Linked DNA regions of Drosophila melanogaster. The protein of the gene in region 1 interacts with the protein of each later gene in a pairwise test. Each region holds a gene or a part of one and is shown in the gene's direction. Other genes may lie near its edges.

Region 1 (3,362 bases):
CGTTAGCCGGCTTAGCCAGCAAGAGGGCAAATTTAAAATTAAGAATATAGCAAGCAAGACCGTTTCAAATCAAAGTGATATGCTAATGCCCCAGTCGCGAAGGACTTGAAGTCGTGTGGCATGAATATTTCATGAGCGCAGGAGTGATGACAATAAGCCGGCTCCGGGAATAAAAAAGAAGCGCAGAGTGAAATCAGGACGATGACGGAGCTAAGACGAACTAATGGCCTGCACAAGCAGCACTCCCTGAGAGATCGACAGGTGCATCCGATGCTGCACGCCCTGGCGGATCACGGCTGCAACCTCAGCAGCGGTGGCAACAGTGCGGCCAGCACCACCAGCAGTAGTACGGCCACGGCCACCACAGCACTTGGTGGTGCCGGCGGTTTGGGCGGTCTGGGTGGCCTGAACGGTGGTGTCGGCATAACAAGTCAGCGGAGCGTTGAGTTCGATGAGCACGACATCTTCTACGTCTCACCATCCAAGCGAAAAGGAGCCACTTCAGGTGAGTAGCACCCTTCTGAGGGGTAAATAAACGCCAGGCCCATCAGTCAATCATATAAAAGTTTTCCCAGCTTGCTCATTAAGCAAATAAGTGTCAGAACTTAACAACTCTAATTAAGATATTACTACCAGCGCATTCAGTACTTATACTTGCATGTACAATACGCTATAAATAATAATAAATTATTTTTATGCGGCACTTCAGACAAAATTTAAATAGCTTAATAACATATTATACAAGATTCTGTTAGAAAAGAAATTTAATTGTATATTTCTTCTGTAACTCGTAGAGTAAACAATTAGCGCCTCTGCTGCTAAGAGTAGTTGAGCGCACATTACTAGAATGTGGTAGACGGACAGGACTAGAACTTTAAATGGAAGCTAAACAACTTTTTTTTCTATCTTCCAGTAGGTTCCTCTGGCAATGTGGTAACCTTCTCGAATTTTGTAAGTGAACAACGCCTGACGCCCTCGTCGTCGAACCGCGGATCCCTGAAGCGGAGCAAGGGCCGCTCCAATCAGTCCCTGTGCAGCTGCGATGCCGGCGACGAGGCCCAACTGGATTTGCAACCGAATGCGGCAAGGCCGCTGTACGAGTACAGTCTGGAACGAAAGCGTAAGACACACACCTACTCCTGCGAGCAGAATGCGCAGATACTTATGAGACTGGAGCGCGAGCGTAATCGTAAATTATCGCTGACTGGGATGGAAACGGGATTGGGAATCGGACTGGGAGTGGGATTGGGAATGGGATCTGGAGGAGGAACAGGAGGAGCCGGAGACCCCCAGGTGAGTGAAACCCCGCTACACTTTGTGTAATTGTAATTGTAGTCATGAGCAGCCAACGGCACGTGCCTCCACCAGAAATACAGACAGAGTTTTGCAACAGGCAAATGCGCTAACCAAACAGAGCGTGGCACGTAGGAGGTGGATGTTGTAGTCTGACGACCGAGTGACTGACACCTGCCACACCCACTGACTCTTGGGGCTCGGGCTCAGGCCACCAAGCTGTCTTCGAATCGCGAGGGGAATGGAGGAGACTTCAAGTTCGCCAAGTATTAGGGCACACATGAATTTTGATTGTTATGGCAAATGCTGTGAGCCAGCACTTCGGGTCGATAAATTTCAGAGATAATCCAATACAATACCTTGATATGTTTTTTTAGAATTAAATATACTCCCATTTGACCATTTAAGTGCTTTTTCGGCAGCTTTGTGACTTTAGAATGTAAATTCCTTCAAAGTCAAGCCCAAAACTATCGTAACCGAGTAGGTCAAGTCCCCAACTGTCGGCCAGTTCGAACAGCCCGCCCGATTTCTACACAGTATACGTTCACATTCCAAGAGAGCAGATCTCAAACAATCGATATTCCTACCGACTCCCACATCAAAAAGCCGATAAGATCATCATGTCCGGCAAACGACTTGGTAGTATGGTGTCCTCCGCCAGTGTAATGCATTCGAGTGCATCGATCTCAAGCAGGGCTAAAAAATCGAAAAAGCCCAAACTGCCGACCTTTGACCTGTCGCTAAGCCAGAAGGTGGACATTAAGAAAGCCTTCGATTTGTTCGACACCCAGTGCACGGGCTTTATCGAAACCAAGGAGCTTCGCGTGGCCATTCGTGCCCTGGGATTCGAGCCGAAGAAAGAGGATATAAAGCGTATGATGGACGAAATCGATAAGGACAAGACGGGAAGGATTGCCTTTAACGATTTTCTATATCTGATGCGCCTGAAGATGGCGGAAAAGGACTCTAATCAGGATATGATGAAGGCCTTTTCCTTCTTCGATGACGATCGCACCGGCGGCATATCCTTCCTCAACTTGAAACGCGTGGCCAAGGAGCTGGGCGAACAGCTCACCGACGAGGAACTGCAGGAGATGATCGACGAAGCCAACGTTTCCGGTGATGGTGAGGTTAGCAAGGAGGAGTTTCTCAACCTTATCAAGAAAACCAATCTCATCTAGTTGCATTACGTTTAAATTTATTCCGCAATTCATTTGTGTAAACGGGAAACGACGTTGTATATAACCCATATAGATTTACTCATTTTTCAGACAGACACATCAATCTGACTCGAAACCCATTACAGTGAAGAAGTTTGGATATGCTTCGGTTCAATAAAGCTTCGCATTGAATTATTTTTGATATTTTTGATATTCAATCTTCTTGAACCCATATTTTTGGGAATCTAAATGGGTTCTATGTTTTTAGTTAAATATTGCATAACAATAAAAACCAGAGTATAGTAATGAGCACAAATTACGGATAGTTAATTTTCGGTTTATCATTACGAATTCTTTTAAAGTTATGTATTTCGTACTCTATGAAATTTTTGAAATAAAACAATTTCAGATCGCTGGGAATCTCATAGTCCTTGTTTTTGATACTTGGGCGAGTTTGCTGTCACAGGCCTCTGTCATGCATAACAAATCTCTTTGACACATTTGATGTATGCTTTTCCATGGGCCTGCTCCACTTTCGGTTTTCAGTTTTCAGTTGAGTTCGTTGCAGCAAATTGTGGCTGCAATTTGGTGGCATGCGTGGGCGCTTTTCCAACTGCCGGAAGAGCTTTTCCATTTCCCATCTTTGCCTGTCCCCGTTTCTGTGCCTTATTCACTCTTAACTCTGTGTCTTCGGTTCGTTGTTCAAACGGCAAACATAATTTAGTAGCATCGTTTTTAGGGTTTTATTTACGCTATGCGTTACATTTAACTCCATTTAGTTGCTGGTCGCATTCAGACTTTAAATTTATCAAACTCTAGTTAAAGCATATTGATGAATGGATTTATAAATGTTATTGTTATCACATTAATTGGGATTTCTTTAAAGCAGCTCCAAAGTTTGGGGAATAT
Region 2 (4,798 bases), 3.0 Mb from region 1:
AAGTAGCTGCACGTCTTCGTGAACTTATAGTTGGGCGTGACGGCGTCGTCAAAACCATACTTCTTGGCCAGTCGCGCCACAATCTTGGCCATAGGCCGATAGCTGAGCACGTTATGGGAAATTTTGAGATTTTTGTACCGACTGCAAGTGAAGATAGAATTAGATGAATTGCAAGACCAGTTTTTCAAATACATACTCGAGTAGATGCTCGCAGAGCTCTAAAACCGACTTCTCCTTGTGCAGCAACGAATCCAAGAACTTGACAAAGGGCAACCTCTGCTGTGTGGCATGGTCCAGATATTCCTCGGCCAGTGGTAGTTTCTCAATTGCAATCAGCGGGAAAGCCAGTTCCAGCATGTCGAACTCGTGCGTCAACTGCAGACTGATGGACCATTGGGTGACCTCTTTGTAAAGCCCGTTGTCCAGGAGTTCGCGCAACTTGGGAAGCAGTAGGTCGCGGATCTGACGTAGACTGTAGGCATGGATAACAGCATTGTTGAGGGCCAGCAAGCCGGAGGTCTTGACAAAGTTAAAGGCTATCATGCTGGTGTTGGGATCACAGCCCTCGCCAAGATGCGGGAAATCCTTGTGGAGCTTGCAAACCGTGTCCAGCACAAAATGTGACAAGCTCTTCGTCTTGATGTTGCTGCTGTCTGGGCAGTTGGCGAAGATCTTCAGGGCCAGGAGCAAAGGATCCTGATGGCCCATTAAAGCCCTTCCAAATTCCTGGCGCAGATGTGGCGACTTTTTCTTGCTATACATGTTCCACTTCTCGCGGAACAGCTTAAAAAACTCCTCCGCCTTTGCGTCCAAGGTGGCGTCAAAGTTACAGCCGTCGATTCCAGCACCTGTCGTGATGTCCTCCAAGCGCTTGATCTTCAGGTTGCTCATTAGGTTCTCCATGTTCTCCTCGTCCGACTCAAAGCCGGCGGGTATTGCGTTGTACATGTGGCTCTTGCGTGCCATTTCTCACGGGTTTCCCGTGCCACTGCAGAGCGAAGCAAGTGCAATTGCCAATTGCAAATGCAATTGACGGTAAAGGCGAACAAACTTCGATGGAAATATCGATTTCAAAAACATCGATGTTTCAGTGACCGCCCAAAACAACACCAAACGTCAGCAGAAACCGCCAAAAGTTATAGATTTTTTTAAAGCAAGATTATTTTTTTCGCAGATTAATGCCTTGTTGCTAGAAAGCTATATATATATATATATATATTAATATTAAATATATATTTATAATTAGCAATTTTTTATACAGTGAACAAGGTACATGAAATCCGCCGGTGCAAAATTATTTACAATTTTTACTTTGATTGGAAAATTTATTTATTAAATTTGCTTGGAAATACGGCAATCATTTGTATTGCAGGATTGAAATCCAAAGAACAACTATTTGATAAAAGTCTAGCTAAAATAATAAGTATTATAGTTATTCTAACTGTGTTGCCTTTGAAGTCCAACTGGCAAATGAGTTAATGAGTTTTTATTTTAATTAAATTGTTAAAACTTGCCTATTTTTACTATAGCTGTATTTAGCTCTATTTTCCTAACGCATTGGCAGCACTGCCCACAATTCAGCAGCGTGGCAGCCCCGTTGAACAGCACACGTGCATTTTTGTTTTAGTTTGCACGTTGAAAAATGAAGCTGGCTACGAAAAAAATTAAGACCCTGGGCAAATCCAAGCCTGACCTAAGCAAAAAGAAGCCCGCCAAGGATGCCATCAGGAAGACGAAACCGCAAACAACCTCTGAAACGAAAGTTACTCCAAGAAACCCGAAGCAGAAAGTCGCCGAACCAGTGAAGAATGGGAAGACCACAAAAAAGGGATTTAAGAAATCCCACAAAGAGGAGCTTGAAGGGCTTAAAGATATAGACCCAGAATTTTATGATTTCTTAAAAAATAATGATAAGAAGCTACTGGACTTTAATTTACTGGACACAGATGATGATGATGATGAAGAGGGGGATGAGGAAGACAAGGAAGATACGGTAACTAAGGAAAGTAAGGATGACGAGGATGACGAAGAGAAGTACCACAAACCCAGCAAGGATTTGGAGGTGGCTAGCGATGAGAGTGACTTTGAGGTCGACGAAGAGGACGATGCGGCAGCTGGAGGTATCCAAAAGATCACCCTCAACCTGTTGCATCAGTGGGAACAGCAATTGGGCCAGGCCAACATATCTATTGACATTGTCCGCAAGGTTATCCAGGCTTTCAATTCAGCTCTGGCTAGTATCTCTGCCGACGGAGCGGACGGAGGAGAGAACAAGCATAATGCTGCCGCATTTAAGGTAGTGGGGGCAGCTGCGTTTAATGGAGTAATTCAGCTCTGCGTAATCCACCTGCAGCCCGCTATAATTCGATTGCTGGGCGTTAGACCCAACAGCAGCCTACCGCTGCACAAGCACAAGAAGTGGGTCAAGGTGCGAGGCTGTTTGCGCTACTACCTCACCGATTTGATTCGTCTGGTGGAGCAGGTGTCCAGTCCAAATATCTTGGGCGTGTTGCTGAAGCATTTGCATCAAATGGCCGGCATGGTGGTTCCCTTTTCGGCACTTGGAAAGACCATATTAAAGCGTCTGGTTGTCTTATGGTCCACTGGAGATGAAACAGTTCGTGTTCTGGCCTTTCTCTGCATTCTGAAGATAACCAGGAAACAGCAGGTAAATATTCTGAACTAGACACTTATTGTGACCCCTGCTAACACCAATGGTTCTTGCAGGCGACCATGCTGAATCACGTTCTAAAAGCCATGTACCTGGCCTATGTACGCAATTCCAAGTTCGTGTCGCCGAACACTTTACCAGGAATCAACTTTATGCGCCGCTCGCTGGTGGAGATGTTCGCGTTGGATTTAAACGTCAGTTATCAACATGTCTTCCTCTACATCCGACAGTTGGCCATTCACCTGCGAAATGCAGTGATCCTTAAGAAAAAGGACAGTTTCCAAGCGGTTTACAACTGGCAATTTATTAACTCGCTGCGCTTGTGGGCAGATCTCCTGGGAGCAAGTGCGAACAAACCACAGTTGCAGCCTCTGATTTATCCCCTTGTTACCATTGCCACCGGAGTGATTCGACTGATACCCACCGCTCAATACTTCCCATTGCGATTCCACTGTCTGCAGACCCTAATTTCACTGGCCAAAGAGACAAACACATATGTGCCGGTGCTTCCACTCATTGTGGAGGTATTAAAGAGCAATACCTTTAACCGCAAGCACTCGGCGGTATCCATGAAGCCAGTGCAGTTTACCTGCGTCCTTAGGCTTAACAAAGGGCAGTTGGCGGAAAATGGCTTCCGCGATGAGGTGATCGAGCAGGTGTGTGGGCTTCTGTTGGAATATCTCGCTCATGAGTCCACCTCGCTGGCCTTTAGTGATTTGGTGGTGCCCACTGTCATGGCCATCAAAACGTACCTTAAGGAATGCAGGAATGCCAATTATGCTCGAAAACTTAAACAGCTGCTAGAGAAGATTCAGGAGAGTGCCCGCTTCATAGAGCAGCAACGTGGCAAGAGCAGTGTCACTTTTGACATAAAGGATGCGCAGGCGGTCGCCGCCTGGGAGCAGCAACTCCGTCTTAAGCGCACTCCACTAGACGTCTACTATGCCAGCTGGCTAAAGACACACGAGACCAAGAAGCGACGACAGGCAGCACATACAGATGAAATCAATGCGGACTATGATGTGCCCAAGCTAAAGAAACTACCGGTCAAAACCGGAGTACCAGTGAGAAATGAAAACGGCGAGGTCGAACTCTTCCCCTCGGACTCGGAAGATGAAGGCGATGATGGCCTGCATTTGGGATCAGATGATGATGACGACGAGGATGTACAGGAGGAGGAGGAGGTGGAAGTTGAGCACCCTAAAGCCAAAAAGGCGAAGAAAGAGAAGCCCGAGAAACAAAAACCTCGGCCAGCAACAGTGGAAGATGATTACGACGAGGCGGGTGGAGCCGTGGATATTGTTAAGGACTTAGATTTGAACGAATGGTAAAACATTTAAGATCAATTTAACTATATTTACACATTAAATTAAAAGGAAAACCAATATAGAGTTACTTCTCCGGTGGCTCCTTGCCAGGAATAAACTCATACTCCTTGTATTTGGGAAAGGTTCCAATAGTTGGTCCGTCCACCTGCTTGGGCAGTGCCTTGTCGTCCTTGCCCTTGGCGTATGTTGCTTCCAATTCGGCGGCGTTGCGTTTCTTCATGTCCATAATCTGAAGATTTTTCACCAGCTCTTCGCGGGTGGGCGGCTCCTCCCGGCGCCCTCGTAGCCACGCCTCCCATTCGGCAGTCAGCTCCTGGTCGAAGGCTTCCTTATCCGCTGGCTCGAACCACCGGGAAGGCTTCCTCTTTCCAATCGAAGGATTTGCAGGAATTTCGTAGTACTTATTCCCGAAATAGTCCTCCCCAATGTAATCCCCACGAAACTGCCGCGGTCGTAGGGACTTCCAAAAGTTCTTGAAGATGATGCCGATCACATCGCGCGTCGGCTTGTTAGCCATGCTTATTTTAACTTAAGAGCGAGGAACTTAAATTTATTTTAGAATTTGAGGTTAGGTCTTGCGTTTGTTATGACATGAACAGCTGGTGGCGGTGTTGCAAAATGCCGGCAGGTTTAAAAGCGTAATTCAAATTCGTAAAATTGGTTTCAGTGGCAATGCATAGGGACTAAACCAGTCCCGCAGAAAAATTGCCATTAAATCTGTACGGAGACTATTATTGTTGTATTCCATGTCCTGGAGTACTAATCCAATGCCAGCTGAGTAAGTAAAATGCTCTCCCGA
Region 3 (4,896 bases), on another chromosome or scaffold:
GTAACTAACCTAGCCTAATCACAACCAAGTTGCTCTGAAAGATAATCTATGCATACTTGCTATGCGCACTCTGGGAGCCAAACTTGTGCAACCCAACTTCATCCGCCTTCGCCGATGTGCCGTGTCCATGAGGCTAGACGTAACCGCTCGTAGCTCAGCTGATCCCACAGATGTGGCACGATCTCTGAAGCAGATCCACAGATGGGGCTGTTCCATGTAGCTATTGCTCGGATCTATAATGGTGTGGGTGGGGTCCTACCTTGAATCGGTGCTCCTCGACGATCAGAGTGACGTCCGTGAGTTTCTCCTCGTTGCGCAGCTTGTTGAGGCCCCGCAGAAGGGTCTCCTCCTCGGGGGACACGGGATTCACAGGAATTTTGGCCGCAGCCGACGTTGCTGTCGCTGCCGGCGTCACTGCTGGCGCTGGCGTCGCTGCCATGCTGTTCGCTGTACTCTCTCGGAACGGACCAAAGATTAGAGCGGGCTATTAACCTATATATATGTTAACCTATGTGGTCCCAAGGTTGGGGAATCCGTCTGATAAGAAATTCTTGAGATGACCGAGCTTCTGGTGCGCGAGTGCGAGTGCGAGCGAGAGGGCAGCACGTTCTGTTTACACTCGCGGCCAGCTGTCTACAAACCGTTATTTGGCGAACTATGAACCGTTCTACGACAAATATACGCACGAAATTAGCTAAATTATTGCTAAACACTGGCAGAGAAAAAAGTTTCGCGTGCGATTTCTTTGCTTGTTGCTACCTCTTTGCTTCTTTTCCCTCTTGCGACTTTTTACTTTTCGCGTTTTTGACGTTTCTTCTCTTGACGTTTGAACTGCCAAGTCGGCTAGCACCGCTAGTGATGCGCATTTAGCTATCGATTGCGGAGCGCGATCGTTTAAAATTATATTTTCAAATTTCATATATATACCCGTATTCCTGGGTGCTTTTAATTGGGAGACGGGTGAGTATGCAATTTAAAAGGTTTTTATAAGAGAATGCTAGCTTTTGAAGTCAAAAGCTCGCGAATTTCCCCTTTAACATTGATATGGTAGCATTTAAAAATGAAATTGTTAAATTTGCACCAAAATAAGTCTATGTTAGTTACTTAGTTTAGCTTAGTAAGATAGCTTACGTTAACTTTAGGCAGAAATATTAATACTAAAAGAATAATTAATTAATTTCTTTAAAAAAGTCAATCTTATCAGAGACATTGAAGTATTTCACGTTAGGCAGTTGTTTCTTGTTAGAAAATGTTTTTCGGATCCGCAAATAATTTTGATACGAGAAAAGATATCTAATTAAGTATTATATATTATATAAATATATATTTAAATTAATACACTATGATATTAGTGTGGGTGAGTTCAAATACACTCTTAAAAATACGCGTTCCATTCTTGGACCAACATTTATTCAGCGTGCTGTATCTATTCACTGCAAATATTTCAGAATAAAGTGCAGGCTAGCAGGTAAAAAAATTGTATTTAATTTTTTTTCTCACAATATCTATAGTCTCCAGTGTTAACTAATGGCCAAAGTTTCGTCCAGTGGTGATATCGCAGCATAAGCCGATAAGCTGCTGCAAAGTATCGACATACGTCCAGGCATGAAAACATCGATAGCCTGCGTGGCATCGGCCGTATTCCACCTCTACTCGACTGGTCTGGTCACTCGAAAATCACATCGGACGAAATCGAGTGGAAAGCGGAGCAAGTAAAACAAGAAGTAGAGTAAAATACACAACTAATTAATTGTAATTTGGCCGAAAGTGCAGACGGTGCGCGCGCGATCGCTTGATTGTATTGTGAATCATTAGTAATTAAAGCAGCGTAAGTGCTGGCGCAACCACAACAACAAACGTGTGGCGTCAAATTTTTTTTTTGTGAAAAGAAAAAGGCGAAAAGTGTAATAAAAAAGTAAAAAGCAAGCGATGAATGTGTGCAAGGCGTTCCAAAAAATACAAGGATCGATGCAAGGCGAAGAAAAACACACAACGAATTCGGCAAACATTTTGGTTGTTCGCTAGTTAAAGTAATTAGTTTATTGCTCGCCGCCGCCGACGACGCCAAAAACAACAACCACAACAACAGAAGCAACGAAAGAAAGCAACAGTCAAATGGCGAAGAAGAAGCAGAAGCTGAAGCGGCAACAACAATTGGAGTGCAAAATGCAACGTGCATGAAATAAAGATTTTTACTCTGTATTTGTGGTTTTTTTGCACAGGCCCAAATGAAAATTGTCGCGCTGTTTCTTTTTCTTCCTTTCTCTTTCCCGCACTCTGCAACCTTAAAGAAGAAGCAAAAAAGCGGAGCAATTACGAAAGGAAGGAAAAGAAATGAAAAAGAAATGAAGTCGTGTAGGTGTGTGTGAGTGTGTTTTTGTGTGCGGTATGTGCGTGTGTGCGCGCCACATGAGGAAACTGCCAGCAGCGACGCCAACTGCGGCGTCGGCAGCATGTAGAACCCAAAAAATAAAGCAAAACAAAAAAGTCCACAAGAAAAAACATAAAAACACAGTTACGGTTACGATAATAGTATCAATAGCATCGCGTTTACTGACAATTAAAATTTGTTAAAAATAACAAACATTTTAGTATCTTTAAAGTAAAATAATCAATCTTATGTCACGAAAGTAAAAGAGTGCACTCCTTTCTACTTTTCTTGAGTTATCGGTAGTTAACGGTAGAATGCCCTTTGAAGTGCTATTATTTTGACCGTTACTGCTGATTTTTTGGCTGCCACTGACTCACATTTCATTGATAAGAAGAAGAAGGAAAAGAAAAGAGAGGAAAGAATGGGAAAGAATTGAGGAATGTCCTTAAATAAACAAACAATAAATCGCCTTATCAGCTCCACACCGTTTTTGTTGTGTTTTTTCTAGTTTGCAAAATTAAAACGAAATCATAAATATACAAAAAGGAAGCAACAAAAAAGTTTAAAAGAAAATCGTCAGAAAGGGAGAAGAAAATCTTCCTGGTTTTTGGTAAGTATCATAGGCTTTTTGTTTATTTTATAAAAATGTTGTGTAAATCTAAACAGTATAACAATTGAAGAATCGGCACTTTTCGGCCCATTTTGTGCACTCTCTTTATTGCTCTCTTGCTCTGTTCCCATCTTTCACGTCTTCCATTTTCCGTTGTATGCCAGCAGCGAAAGTTGTCTTCCTGCTTTTTAGGTTTTTTTTTTGTTTACGTACCACCAGACTCCCTTCTCTCTTCTACTGGACCTCTTTCTCTCATTTCCTCTCTGCGGAGAATTCTTCTGCAGAATTCACAGAGACAACGCAAGAAATTAGGCGAATAAAAAAATGTGTTCATTCTTAAAACTTCTGAATTATTTTTTATTTTTTGATAAATAAGTGCAATAAATTTTCATTTACAAGAATTGTAGCCCTTAACAGTCAAACGATTGCGTTTGAAGGGATTTAACCTTTTTCGAACTTTAAAACCCCTGTCACATTGAAGAATATTAAAGAATATTAAAAAAAGTAATCAACAGGAATAAATTACTTAATTTCTGAAATTATTCCCAAATTACCGCAGTATTTGCTGGCTATAACGATATTGCCATATAGCGCCCACTTAAAAATTGCAGGATAATTTTCGTGAAACCTCCGTAATTTGCAATCAATACTCAGCTGGTTTAAAATTTCCCATTTCGCAGTGGAATTATCGGGCACTTTCGGCCAACTTTTTACCCATTTCCTCTACTGTTTTACTATTTTGCCACTTAACTTCGTTGACATTGCCCCTAACTTGAGGACAATGGGCAAATAAAGACATGAACAATCGGAGCACACGCACCTCTGCTGCAAATGGTAAAAGTCAATAGATAATTATGTATAATGAGCAAAGAATTACGTTGCCCAATTGGCAATTATTGCAACAATAGTTAAATCCATTACGTGTTTCTGCCCCCTGCGAATGCCGGCCAATAATAACGGGCATTTCCAGCCCGAGCTCGAACTCGGACCGAATCACGAATTGTAAGAAAACTCAACTTTATGCGCCGGACTTTGGTTACTGTTACTGTTATTGCCTCTCCATGGGCTAATGTTATTTTGTATTTTGTTTTCCAATTTTTTTTTTGTGTCTTGGTCAACACGCAAGAAGCAAAAGTAAAAAAAAAAAAACCAAAGGGGCGAGTAAAAAAAAAACAGCAACAAACTAAAATTACATAAAACCTTGAAGTTACACGCGCAGAAACAAATGCTCTATGAACTTTGCTCACTTATTTGCTAAAAAATAGGGTTCCAATGGGGTTCTTTAAAATCTCGAGCTCGAAACTGAAAGGAAATCGAGTTCGGACGTGTTTAATTATTATTAAAAAAAAAAAAAACTAAGCATAGAACTTCAAAAAATATATGCGATTCATTTAAATAACTATATTGAGACTTGGCAATCGTAATCTAAACCTTTCTCGCCATCTCACCTCCTCTTATTTGTAATGCGAAGTAAAGTGGCCCAGCCCTTTCTCTCAGTGTAGGGACGTGGCTGGGGGCCTGGGAACCGCTGTCTTCACCTTCTGCCTCAACTCTAAGCCTATTGGCAGCGGCCCGAGCACGAGCCGCCTTAACCCAAAGTGGGGGAAACGAACTCGGTTCGCAGCCAAGCCGCTTGATTAACCTTCTTTTTTATTACAATATTTTTGTTGACTCTTTTCGTGTGCTCATTGCTGTTGCTGCTGCTTTTGTTTTTGTTTTGGTCGTGGTTTCAAGGCGGCCACGTTCGGGATGGGAAATTAAATGCACTGCAATTACTGCACCCAAAAAAAGCCGCGCAATATACATAAATACATGCATATGTATGTGTATGTGTATATGTGTGTATGTATGTACAAAGAGAATGGAAGTCAGGGGCAGATAGGATCTGGGTGGCCAACGCGAGGGGATTAGAGTT

What was found. The genes of interacting proteins can lie anywhere in the genome.
Region 2: the proteins of CG31802 (region 1) and Noc2 interact in a two-hybrid assay, tested with the Drosophila melanogaster proteins (one large-scale study listed by BioGRID).
Region 3: the proteins of CG31802 (region 1) and RhoGAP19D interact in a two-hybrid assay, tested with the Drosophila melanogaster proteins (one large-scale study listed by BioGRID).

Annotation. Positions count from the first base shown.
Region 1 is NT_033779.5:18,207,700-18,211,061, reverse strand, and holds CG31802 (uncharacterized protein), read left to right. Parts: upstream 1-1,824; 5' UTR 1,825-1,913; coding exon 1,914-2,474; 3' UTR 2,475-2,647; downstream 2,648-3,362. Other genes in the region: CG42750 (uncharacterized protein), read left to right, coding at 202-505, 914-1,293.
Region 2 is NT_033779.5:21,162,037-21,166,834, forward strand, and holds Noc2 (nucleolar complex protein 2), read left to right. Parts: upstream 1-1,604; 5' UTR 1,605-1,642; coding exon 1,643-2,668; intron 2,669-2,727; coding exon 2,728-4,002; 3' UTR 4,003-4,054; downstream 4,055-4,798. Other genes in the region: Nbr (nibbler), read right to left, coding at 1-141, 197-966; CG43346 (uncharacterized protein), read right to left, coding at 4,064-4,516; CG43345 (uncharacterized protein), read right to left, coding at 4,643-4,798.
Region 3 is NC_004354.4:20,507,451-20,512,346, reverse strand, and holds the start of RhoGAP19D (Rho GTPase activating protein at 19D), read left to right. Parts: upstream 1-1,652; 5' UTR 1,653-1,828; intron 1,829-2,879; 5' UTR 2,880-2,981; intron 2,982-4,896. Other genes in the region: CG1812 (uncharacterized protein), read right to left, coding at 260-439.